Sus scrofa: one gene and its partners. The protein of the gene in region 1 purifies or fractionates together with the protein of each later gene. This does not show direct contact. Links are inferred from orthologs where the notes say so. Each region holds a gene or a part of one and is shown in the gene's direction. Other genes may lie near its edges.

Region 1 (3,512 bases):
GGTACTCAGAGGAGAAGCAGGTTGAGGAGGGGCTCAGGGATTATATCAAATTATAAAAACATGCCTAATGGACATGTTGGTGGAAGTACTGAGGATAAAAAGCATTTTACAAGAATTACAAGACTTTTTTCAATTAAATAAAAATTTAACTTAGCCTCTATAAGGAGTGTTGTCTAACTTAGAAATGTTCCTTTTGTCTCTTACCCATTTTATTAAAATCATCATCTAGTATACTCTGGGGGGAAAGTAGATTTTGTTTTGTTTTTGTTTTGTTTTCTTTCACTTTACTGCCTTCAGACTCATCATATTTAGATTTTTTTGTGGACCCTACGTAACCACAAGTGAGCCAGCTCCTTGACTTAAAAGTGTGTGCTTTTCTCACAGATATAATTAGGGATCCCAGAAATTTTATCCTTCAATACAAAGTGCTATACATTTCCAGGAGGTGAGTTTTGACATAAAGAATAAGAGAAACATAACATAGGTTATAGGTTCACTTTGCAAAGATAGAAAAATTTGCTTTAACTTTGAAAAGAACTGATGGGTTTTTATTATTTTCTAAGTGTTTCAAGTTTATATACTTTTTCTCCAATTTTTATAAAATGTCTTTGCTAATAATTTTATTTCATGCAAAGGTCATAACTTATTTACTTGTATTTTTCTAATCAATTAGTTAATGATACAAGTTAGGGGAGTAGAGAGAGGATTGCCACATTTTATACTTAAAAACTTTTTTTTTTTAATGACATCTTGGGAATATCCTTAAATATCATGAAATAAGATACTGAACCTTTATAAAATTTTCTAAATACTCTGTGATTTAAGACAATCAGCCTTTTAATGTGTTGTTTTATGTGTATGTTTAAATTTACTCAGAAAAAAAGATTTTAATTTGACAATTCATTCATATAAGTATGATTCCATATAGACTTCCTATTTTAAATACTGATTTTGAATTAGCATTATGATTTTCAGGGAACTAGGTATATCCAGATGAAAGTTTCATATACCTTGTAAGGGTTTGAATCTTGGCTGTACTACTGAATACTAACTTGGATACCTTAGTTAATTTCTCTGTGCTTTAGTTTTCTCTTTGGAAAATGGAAAAAGTAACCCATACAATTGTTGGTAGGATAAAATAATACAATAATGTTATTGCGCCGCCGCACAAGCTTGGTCGGTAGAACATGAGACTCTTAATTATGTGATTAGAATAGTGCCAGGTACATAGACACTCAATAATTGGTGGATATTTTTATAATTATGGCTCTCGTTGTGTACAGGTAAGCCATCTGTTATGTGATACTTGTTTTTCTAAGTAAAGCTTACTCTGAGGATTTGAATCATACTACTGCCTAATACTCTCTTTCCTGAGTAGTCTTTAGCAAATCACATGTTTAGTGTAAATTGAATATACCGTGTTTGGTAATAATTTGTTGAATTTGTTAAAGATAGGATTTTGCCATTTTGAATTTATTACAGATAACATTATGTTTGATTAAAGATTTTTGGTGTTATTTTTCAGCACTGGTCTAGAGCAGCACACAAATAGAAATATGATATGTTACATATATAATTATAAATTATATAGTCACTAAAAAAGAACAGGTAAAAATCATTTTCAATAATATTTAAATCAGTATGTACAAAATATTTCAACATGAAAATGATATTTAAAAATGAGGTATTTTACATTATTTTCATCTTGCATCTACAAAATCCAGTGTATAACTGTATATCTCAATTTGGACTAGCTACGATTCAAGTTCTTAGTACCCATGTGTGGCCAGTGGCTGCAGTATGGGATAGCATAGGTCTAGATATATTTATTGAAAATCTGGTTTAAGAAATCTTTGCACTTGTGTCTTTTCCTTTTCTTTCCTTTTCTTTTTTTTCTTAAGGTTGTACCTGCAGCATATGGAAGTTCTCAGGCTAGGGGTTGAATTGGAGCTGCAGCTACCAGCCTATGCCACAGCCACAGCCACAGCCACAGCTGTGTGGGAACCAAGCCGCATCTGCTACCTATAGCACAACTCATGGCAACACCAGATCCTTAACCTACTGAGCAAGGCCAGGGATCGAACCCACATCTTCATAGACACTAGTCAGGTTTGTTACTGCTGGGATACAGCAGCAACTCCCATTTATATTTTTTCCTTTTTCTTTTTTTTCTTCTTAGGGCCACATCTGAGGCATATGGAGGTTCCCAGGAAGTTCCCATAGAGGTGCAGTGGAAACAAATCCAACTAGGAAACATGAGGTTGTAGGTTCGATCCCTGGCCTCGCTCAATGGGTTAAGGATCCGCCGTTGCCATGAGCTGTGGTGTGGGTTACAGCCACGGCTTGGATCTGGCGTGGCTGTGGCTGTGGCATAGGCTGGCAGCTGTAGCTCTGATTAGACCCCTAGCCTGGGAACCTCCATATGCCACGAGTACGGCCCTAAAAAAAGCAAAAAAAAAAAAAAAAAAAAAAAAAAAAATATATATATATATATATGTTAAAATATACAAGAGGGAAATTCACTTAAGATGGGTAGTCAGAAAACCATATGCTACTATCTGTATATTAAAGTGCAAGTACTTAAAATATGCAGTGCCTGCTAGCAGATCAATTAATAATTATTGAGTATCTGCTGTGTCCTTAGTATTACTCTTTAGTGATAATACTTCTTTTAAGCAGGAGTAAAATTTTTTGGGGGTTATCAGATGCTGTGTATGTACAATAAAGTTAAATTGTATTGGAAAACAGTTGGAGATAGTTTTTTATATTTATATATTTTAAAATCACATCTCACACAATATATTATATGTAGTGATTTTTTTTCATTGTGGTTTGTTCAGACCAAGATTTCTATTTTCTTTATACCTTTAATTAGAAGAAAAAATTTACATGATTGATTGATGACAACTATTTTTGTTTTGTTATTCTTCCATTAGATGATGAAAAAGTCAACTTTATCATTGAATTTTTGTAAATCAGTATTGTCAAAAATCCTACTGGGGTTCTTCTTTGCTAAAAGTAGTAATTTCTGCAACTAACAAGTTCTCTTTATTCTTTTTATTTCAGGCCGCTCATACTCTGTATGTTCTCCAAGGATGCTTAATCAGTGTCTGGAGTCCTTGGTGCAGAAAGTACAAAGTGGGGTAGTAATAAACTTTGAAAAAGCAGGACCAGATCCTTCCCCTGTAGAAGGTATTGTACTTTTTTAAACAGACATTTTAAACTTACTTTATCAAGTATTCAACTAGAACGGAAAAATTACTAGGATTTGGCTTTAACGTTGACAAGGCCAAATTATAAGATAACAGAATGACTGTCAGTAAAGAGGGAAGATTAAATAGGGAAGTCAAGATAATATGTTAGTCGTTCAGTAGCATCACCTTTTTAAACTGGTTGTTCATAACCCTAAGAATTTGTAAGAGCCAAAAACCTTTTTAAAGCATTTACAGATTAGCCTATTTCCTTTTTTAGTTTTGCAACAATGATTCTCTAGTATATACACTTCTTCCATG
Region 2 (4,156 bases), on another chromosome or scaffold:
TAAAAAGCAACAAACAAACATATAGTCACTCCACAAACATCCCAGTGCCCACATGTTACTGGATACCTCTGGGCACCCTGTGCCATGCTTCCCTGTGGTGTGGCTCCGACAGGCCCTGGGGACCCAGCTGTATCTCACGTCAAGTCCAGGACAAGCTCTTGTCCCTTTGGGCCTGGGGGGTTCCTGTACCCTTGGTGCTGGGAGCTCTGGGAGCCAGGCATGGGAGGGCAGCCGTCCAAGCTGTGGTGAGAGCCCAGCCAGGAGAGCACACCTGGATGCCTGGGCAGATCACACACTCTCCTAAAACCCCGCCCTTCATCTTCGGGGAGAATGGGCCAGCACACCCTGCCCTGCCCAGCATCTGGACTGCTGAGAGCATCTGATGGGGCCCAGGGGTTGCTGAGGCCCTGCAGGCCCCACAGGCTTGGCTGCAAGCCTGATGCCAGGCCCAGTGCTCGGAGGTGAGCTCACCCTGTGTTCAGGTGTGGGAGACAGCCATGCCTGGCCTCAGGAAGAGGACACTCCAGAGACTTCCAGAGACTCCCTCTCTCAGGGCTTCGGTTTTCTGTCCACGGAGCAGATGGCCTCTGAGGCCCTCAGGGCTCCCTTCCTGGTCACCAGACATCCTGTGGGCCTGGCCTTCCTGCCCAGAACCTGAGCCAGCAGCTAACTGGAGGTGCCAGGAGTCTTTCAGAGCTTGAAAACAACAGGAAGGGCAGTGGCCATGCAGCCGGGGCGGGCAGCATGCCAACTCTGGGAAGGTGATGCAGGGCACCGCCAAGGCTCCCCCAGAGGCAGCCCAGGCCCCAAGGTCAGGGCTCATCTTGAGGCCGGCATGAGCACCGGAGCCCTGTGGCTGACAGCAAGGAAAATGGGGCAGTCCTCCAACACCTCAGGTCCAGAGGGTGTGAGCCAGGCCCTGTCCAGGAAGTCCTGCAAATCTCGCCTGGGAAGGAGGCTCCAGGTGGCGCTGGGCTGGAACGCGAGATCCCCGACCAGGTGGGGTCCCCAACCTGGGCAGGTCCTGCTCCAGCTGAGGCCCAGGGATGGGACAGGGACCCCGGGTCCGGGCCGGTGCGGGAGGCAGGTCCTCGGCCGCCCTCTCCCGCGGTCCCACGGCAAGGTCCAGGCCCACCCGCCGGGTTCGGTTGGGCTGGGTTTCCCCGCCACCGACTGCAGCTCGTTTCTACCCGCTCACCTGCGCCGCCGCCGCCGCTCACCTGCGCCGCCGCGGCCGCCCCAGGTCCCGCTGCCCCGCCCCCGGCCCCCGCCCCACCGCCCAGGATTGGCTGCCATCCGCCCAATCAGAAGGCCCAACGCGCCCGCCCGCGCTTCCGTGGAGCGCACCGGAAGCTGGCGCAGTTGAGGCTGCGTCTGCGCAATGTGTCGCCTCCAGTCAGTGCGCGTGGCCGCAGCAGGGGCTCGGCGCCGGGGTCTGGCGGGGCGGCGGTAGTCCCACCATCGCTCAGGATGCCCGAGATCAGGGTCACGCCCCTGGGTGAGTGCGGCGCGGGCGGTCTGGTGCGTGCGGCGCGGCAAGAGCGCGCAAGGAAGGCGAGTGGGAGGCTCGACGGGCCGGGGACCCCCGCAGTCTCGTCGCCCCCCCCCCCCCCGCGCGCCGGTGCTTCAGGGCGCCTTCGCTGCTGTCTCTGCTTCCTCGCCACTCCCTGCCCATCCCCGTCCCCCGTCTGTCTGGCGTCCGCTTTCCTGCAGCCTCCGTGTATCTATCTGCAGTCCACCCGCCCGACCTTGTTTTATGTGGTTGCTGCAACATTAAGGTAACTTTGCTTTTCGCAAAAGATGTAAGTGCACAGTTTAAAGGCCCAAAAGGTACAAAACAGTGCGAAGGAGGAAGGATCACTCAGAATCCCGCGTCTTAGAAACAGCCGAAGTTATCATTTTCATGGTCAACTCTCCAGCTGCTGCTGCCTCGCCTCCCTGCGCACCTGTGGGGTCTGTGCTGGAAGCTGCCTCCTTCCCCGGGGCGTGCGCTGGGAGCATCTTCCGTAGACCGTCCCCCGAGCTCCACATCCTTTCTTCTGTGGTGAGCTCTCCCTCAGAATAGCCCACCCAGCCCCCAGTGTGGACACAGAGCTCTTGGCAGTTGCAGTGAACACCCTTGCCCCTGGCCTGCTGGGTCAGAGCGCACATCTCACCCAGCCATAAGTGTCCTCACCTGCGTGGCCTCTCCTAGCTGTTGGCTCAGGGTCCCCTCTGGCTGCTTCAGCCCCATGCCCTCCCCGCCTCTGCAGATTCTCCTTCCCGCCTGACCCTTTTCCATGTAGTTCCTCTTCTCACCGCTCATTCCTGAGCAGTCCTATCTTTTTAGTGCTTTTTTTTTTTTTTTTTTTTTTTTTAAACCCCAGATCTGCACCTGGAGTGCCCTCAGTGTCACTTAACCTTGGCACCATCAGAGCAGAAATACGTTGCCAGTTTCTGCCTCAGAGGGTCCCTGGTCACTGGGCCAGATACAGAGAGCCCTCCCGGATCCCTCCTACCACAGGGCTTTTGCACAGCTGCCCTCCCATCCCACGGTCCTTCTCCAAACTACTCGGAATTCGTCTTCTCAGGGAGGATGTGCCCATCCGTTTCCCTGTCTTACTGTTTCCTGAGGAGGCGCTCATCTCATCTGGTGCAGACTTCTCTAGGTGGTCACTGTGTCCTCGCCCTGAAACCCCAGCTCCCTGTGGGCACAGTGTCTGCTTTGTCCCCACCTCCCCACCCTCCTGCGCACCCTAAGCTCTGTTCCGCAACCCTTCCCTGCCCAGTTCTGGCCACTTTCCTTGCTCCCTGGGATTGTTGTGGGTCCTGTTGGGAGCAGGCAGCCCATGCCCAGGAGCAGAGCTCTGGAGTCCACAAAACTGTCACACGTGCCCATGGGCTGCTCCATGACTTCACACCCTTGTCTGTGAAGGGGGGACCCTTCCCCTCCCATAAATTCTGCAGTACCTTGGAGCTGGTCATGGCTTGGGGCTTGAGGTGCAGCAGGAAGCAGGCAGCTGAGCCCTGCCCTCGGGAACTCATGGTGGAGGCAGGAGCAGGCCTGTGGGGGACTGCGAGGCCACTGCCTGTGGCTGGGCTGCCCGAGGCCCACAGGCCGAGCTCGTGGCTGCCATCGCCTTGTATTGTCATGGGTGACTGAAGCTTTCTGAGGACCAGCCTGTGTCCTGCTTTGGGCTGTGGCCTGGTCACTCTGGTGGACGCAAGGTTCAGGTGGCCACAGAAGGAGGCTGGTCAGATTCAAGATGAAAGGCAGGTCATTTGCTGTCATCAGGCCTTGCAAGACTGTGTCCCTTTCCTTCTGGGCCTCCAGACTCCAGAGGAGGTGACAGATGGCCATATCAGGGGGCTGGGATGTGCCCCACTGGGGTTGGAGCATCTCGGTAGGGCTTGGAGATCAGGAACGTGAATGGGACTCAGATTACAGTCTGGGCTGGTGCTGCCCCGAGAGGGCACAGCACTGGGGGCTTTTGTCATTTGGGGACATGGGGCCACATAAAGCCACATGGCATCCCTCTGCAGTGGCACCACCAGGAGGGGCTGGCACCTCTTGGGGGCAGGGGCCCCGCAGCTCAGATGTAGCCCTGGCTTTGCGTGTGTTGAGTGCTGGGACCACAGTGCAGCACCCGATACTCAGCTCTTGGTCTCAGGATGTGGGTGTCTGCTGCGGGTGGGTTGCTGCCTCAAGAGGGGACTGATGAGTTCCTGTCTGGGCACAGTGGTCACGAACCTAAGTAGTAACCACGAGGACTCAGGTTCGATCCCTGGCCTTGCTCAGCGGGTGAAGGAGCCGGTGTTGCTGTGAGCTGTGGCGTAGGTCAGGTGCTGCAACTCCGATTCCACCCCTAGCCTGGGAACTTCCGTATGCAATGGGTGTGACCCTAAAAAGCAAATAAATAAATAAAAAGAGGTGAATGGCAGGGCCTGAGGCTGGAGGCCCTGTGGGGAAGGGCCTGTGGTGGCCTTGGCGCCTTGCGGCTCTCCCACCCCGGGTGTTTCTCTTGTCTACGTGCGGAGGTGCTGTCCCCTCAGCTCGTCTACACAGCCGTCACAGGTCAGCCGGAGCGCTCAGGGGGTCTGGAGCAAGTGGAGGGCATCCTTCAAGGGCGGGGGTGAGGGAAGGGCATGGCAGCACCTTTCCCGCTTCCCCCTGTGC
Region 3 (4,118 bases), on another chromosome or scaffold:
CCTTTTTGAGGCCTATTCAAACTTCTCTCTAGGGGGACTGTTTAGGGGACTTGCATAATTCTTTGTCGTACATTGCCCCTGGGTGACACACACTGCCAGGCACTGGAGATGCAGAGATGAAGAGATCATAACCCACCCACCTCCGCAGAACTGGAGGTGATAGGTTGAAGAGAACTGCATCTTCCTGCAGTGTCAAAAGTGCATGATCCAGACTTAGGAGTGGAAGGGAAAGGGTATAAACCTATCACTCAAGCAAATTTTGCTAAGTACATGTAAAGTATTGTCATCCCTCAGTCTTTTGGGCTTTTGGTTCTAGAACTCCCCCGTCCCCTCTCAAAATCTGGATGCTCAATTCTTTTATATAAAATGGCATAAGATTTGCATATAATCCACACACATCCACATAATTCAAATCATCTCTAGATTGCTTATAGTACTTAATACAATGTTTAATGTTATGTAAATATTTGCTGGGTGTGAGCAAATTTTTAAGTTTTGCTTTTTTGGAACTCTATGGACTTTTTTTTTTCTTTCAGTCTTCTTGAAGAACCCTTGGATAGGGAGGACTGACTGTCTTTTTGTTCCTCCATCAGTGTACAAACCTCATTAAAAGACATTATTGTTGGGAGTTCCCATTGTGGCTCAGTGGGTTAAGAACCTGACTAGTATCCATGAGGACTCAGGTTTGATTCCTGGCCTCCGTGGGTGGGTTAAGTATCCGGTGTTGCTATGGTTGTGGCATAGGCTGGCAGCTGCAGTGCCAATTCAACCCCTAGCTCGGAAACTTCCATGTGCCATAGGTGCACCCCTAAAAAGGAGAAAGAAAAAAATATATATAGTTAAAGGCCTTTTGTTGTCAGTGCAGTGGCTCAGGTTGCTGCTGTGTCATGGGTTTGATCCCTGGCCCAGGAACTTTCACATGCCAACCCCCCCTACCCCCCCAAAACCCCCCAAAACCCCCAAACAACCTACCCCAAAAACACTGTTATAGTATTCCTATGTATATTTAACCAGGTCTGTGTCAGTGGGCAATCCGTTTTATTTATCGTTTTTTGTTATAGTGCTGCAATGAACATCCTTGTACATGTATCTTTGCTTACAACTGCACGCACTTCTCATATGAATTTCTAGAAGTGTTTCTGTGGAGTCAAGGGCGTGTGCATGTTTTACTAAGTCGCCTTCTAAATGGTTGAACCTGGTGCCTTTTGAAGTAGGTTGAGGGTAGAAAACGTCGGAGCAGCCTGGCCTCCGAGCAGCAGGCGGCGCTCTGAGCGTGTCTCTGCGGAAGCGGCGGGACCGCGCTGAACGACTTCCGGTGGCGGCGTAGGCGCAGGCGCAGGCGCAGGCGCAGGCGCAGGGGCGCGAGCAGCAGAACCGACCCCCAAGGCCCCGCGAGCAGTCTGGCGCGATGCCGTATGCCAACCAGCCAACCGTGCGGATCACCGAGCTCACCGACGAGAATGTCAAGTTCATTATCGAGAATACGGACCTGGCGTAAGGGTGCTGAGGGAAGGGGCTGGCGGCTTCAGAGTGCCCGGGGCCTCGGCTCTGGAGGGGCGGGGGTCTGTCTTTCTTGAACTGGCCCCGGAGCCGGGGCTTTTGCTTTGGGAGCCGTGGGGCGCGGGGCCGGCTGTCGAGTCTGCGGTGCCCACGCGCCGCTTGGTTTTCATTCCTTAGGGTGGCGAATTCTATCCGGAGGGTCTTCATCGCTGAGGTGCCCATAATAGGTAAGCGGCCCTCGCCTCCTCGTGGTCAGGGCCACCAGTTCCCCCACCTCCCCATACCTTGGCGTTCCTGACTCCAGCCTTGTTTGGGGCCCAGGGTGGGGGCGCTGCGAAAACAGCAATGCTGGAGACTTGATCGGACCCCGTGCTCTTGCCCCAGGGCCACTGTGGCCCCTTCCCTGGCTCCCACGGGCCACTCAGTTCCACTCTTCGAGGTAAAGAGCACAGGTTCAGGAGTTTGCAGACTTGAGGTCGAATACTGTCTTTGTGAAACTTAGGCAAGTTATCAAACTGTGCTGCAATTTCCTCTTAACATTCGGACGCTAATAGTAGTTATCAGGGTGACGTCAAGGATTAAGTGGGGTAATCTCTATTAATTGCCTTGTATTTAGTGAGTGCTCAGTACCGGTAAATATCTTTTTATGAATCTGTTCCATCCACTGAGTTTACAGAGCTTATAAGTACCAGGCAGTGGTGCGAGGCACTGGGAATGCAATCAGTCTGGTCATTATACCATAAATTGTGATATGGGGTTCCCGTCGTGGTGCTGTGGAGACGATTCCGACTAGTAACCATGAGGTTGTGGGTTCGATCCCTGGCCTCCATCAGTGGGTCGGGGATCTGGCATTTCGGTGAGCTGTGGTGTAGGTCTCAGACAGGGCTCGGATCCTGAGTAGCTGTGACTGTGGCATAGGCTGGCAGCTGTAGCTCTGATTCAACCCCTAGCCTGGGAACTTCCATATGCTGCAGAGGTGGCCCTAAAAATCAGAGGGGGAGAAAAAGCACTATGGATCATAAGTCTGTGTTGTTTTTGTGAGATTTGTTTAACTTTGAGGTGTTCAAATAGTTTGTGTTCTTGGATTTGGTGATGGCATGAATGGTAGACTAGAGTGCTTCCCACAGAAATAGTCAACTCAGAGAAACACCTTTCTGTAGTAGTCTACAAGTCGCTGTTTTTCTGGGTGGTGTAGGGTACTCCCTGTATCAGATCCACCTGAGCATGTTGGCATGTGGTTCTTGTTAAAGTGTAGCTTCCTGGGCCCCCCTCTAGAGCTGCAGAATCAGTCTCTGGCAGCCTGGCCTTGGTGTCTGCAATGTGGTAAGCATTAGATAATTTTTAAATCTGAAGAACCACTGTTCTTAAGCCTTCAGGTGAATTTGGTGGCTAAACTGCATATCTGCTCTGCTTCCTTTATTTCTTTAGCAATTGACTGGGTTCAGATTGATGCCAATTCCTCAGTCCTTCACGACGAGTTCATTGCTCACAGGCTTGGTGAGTGCTGGGTTTGGGAAGTTAAAGGGCAGGGCAGTGGGGCTCTGCCGGTTTCAGGGGAGGAAGTCTCCTCACTCCCAAGGGGACTGCTGGCTTTTCCTTTGGCTTGGCCCCTTGACCTTGTTTAAACTGCTTCTCTCTGTCTTCCAGGATTAATCCCCCTCACTAGTGACGACATTGTGGACAAGCTGCAGTACTCCCGGGTATGCTGTGTGATTGCTTGGGAGGTCGGGGGTCAGGAATCGAGAGAAGCAGGGAACTCACGTTCTCAAAGGGATTTTTCCTGACACCTTGCTTGCAGCTTTTAGAAAGACAGTGTGGAGATGTTGTCCAGAGCCCAGGGCAGGCTATGTTCTTAAAATCTCATGGGGCCTCAGATTGACGAGGCTCCAGGGGCATCAAGGGGTTTTGAGAGCCCGCCACACAAGAGTGGATATACACCTGGATGCCCACTTATACACAACAGGTGGAGCTGTTCCTCCTCAGCGTCTGATCTGTTCACATTCTGCTTTCCACAGCATCTCTTCCCAGGGGCAGGGTCTTAGGAGGCCAAAGGGCGGCAGCAGAAGGTTAGTGGGTGTGGACAGGGAGCAGAGGGGGTGAGAACTGTCCCACAGAGGAGCACACGAGGGACTGGGGTGCTGATGTCTGCCAGCTTTATGCCTTACTCCTAGGTTTTGCTAATTAAACATGGCTCCCTTCCTCTAGAGCCCTGTTTCTGCTCCTGTGATGTGATAACAGGCTTAGAACTAGGGAGAGGGCAGGAAAGGATTAGGTTACCTGCATCTTTTCACCAGAGCTGCATTAGGTAACAGACTCTTCCTTCTTGATGGCAATTCTAGTATTCCCAGGGGTGTGGTTTTTTTTTTTTTTTTTTTTTTGGTGGCTAATTTTGTAAATTTATGGTTGTTTTTTTTTTTTTTTTTTTTTGTCTTTTTGCCTTTTCTAGGGCTGCTCCTGTGGAACATGGAGGTTCCCAGGCTAGGGGTCTAGTCAGAGCTGTAGCCGCTGGCCTACACCACAGCCACAGCAACACAGGATCCGAGCTGCGTCTGCGACCTACACCATAGCTCATGGCAACGCCGGATCCTTAACCCCCTGAGCAAGGCCAGGGATCAAAC

Evidence for each region. The genes of interacting proteins can lie anywhere in the genome.
Region 2: the proteins of INTS6 (region 1) and INTS11 purify together in Homo sapiens (affinity purification with mass spectrometry; 3 studies listed by BioGRID, with this or other methods). This does not show direct contact. The link is inferred for Sus scrofa from reciprocal best matches to the Homo sapiens genes INTS6 and INTS11.
Region 3: the proteins of INTS6 (region 1) and POLR2C purify together in Homo sapiens (affinity purification with mass spectrometry; 3 studies listed by BioGRID and IntAct, with this or other methods). This does not show direct contact. The link is inferred for Sus scrofa from reciprocal best matches to the Homo sapiens genes INTS6 and POLR2C.

What each region holds. Positions count from the first base shown.
Region 1 is NC_010453.5:16,441,271-16,444,782, forward strand, and holds part of INTS6 (integrator complex subunit 6), read left to right. Parts: intron 1-3,066; coding exon 3,067-3,192; intron 3,193-3,512. UniProt on the Homo sapiens protein: Component of the integrator complex, a multiprotein complex that terminates RNA polymerase II (Pol II) transcription in the promoter-proximal region of genes.
Region 2 is NC_010448.4:63,605,095-63,609,250, reverse strand, and holds the start of INTS11 (integrator complex subunit 11), read left to right. Parts: upstream 1-1,347; 5' UTR 1,348-1,470; coding exon 1,471-1,498; intron 1,499-4,156.
Region 3 is NC_010448.4:19,392,260-19,396,377, forward strand, and holds the start of POLR2C (DNA-directed RNA polymerase II subunit RPB3), read left to right. Parts: upstream 1-1,309; 5' UTR 1,310-1,408; coding exon 1,409-1,494; intron 1,495-1,677; coding exon 1,678-1,727; intron 1,728-2,928; coding exon 2,929-2,997; intron 2,998-3,147; coding exon 3,148-3,200; intron 3,201-4,118. UniProt on the Homo sapiens protein: Core component of RNA polymerase II (Pol II), a DNA-dependent RNA polymerase which synthesizes mRNA precursors and many functional non-coding RNAs using the four ribonucleoside triphosphates as substrates.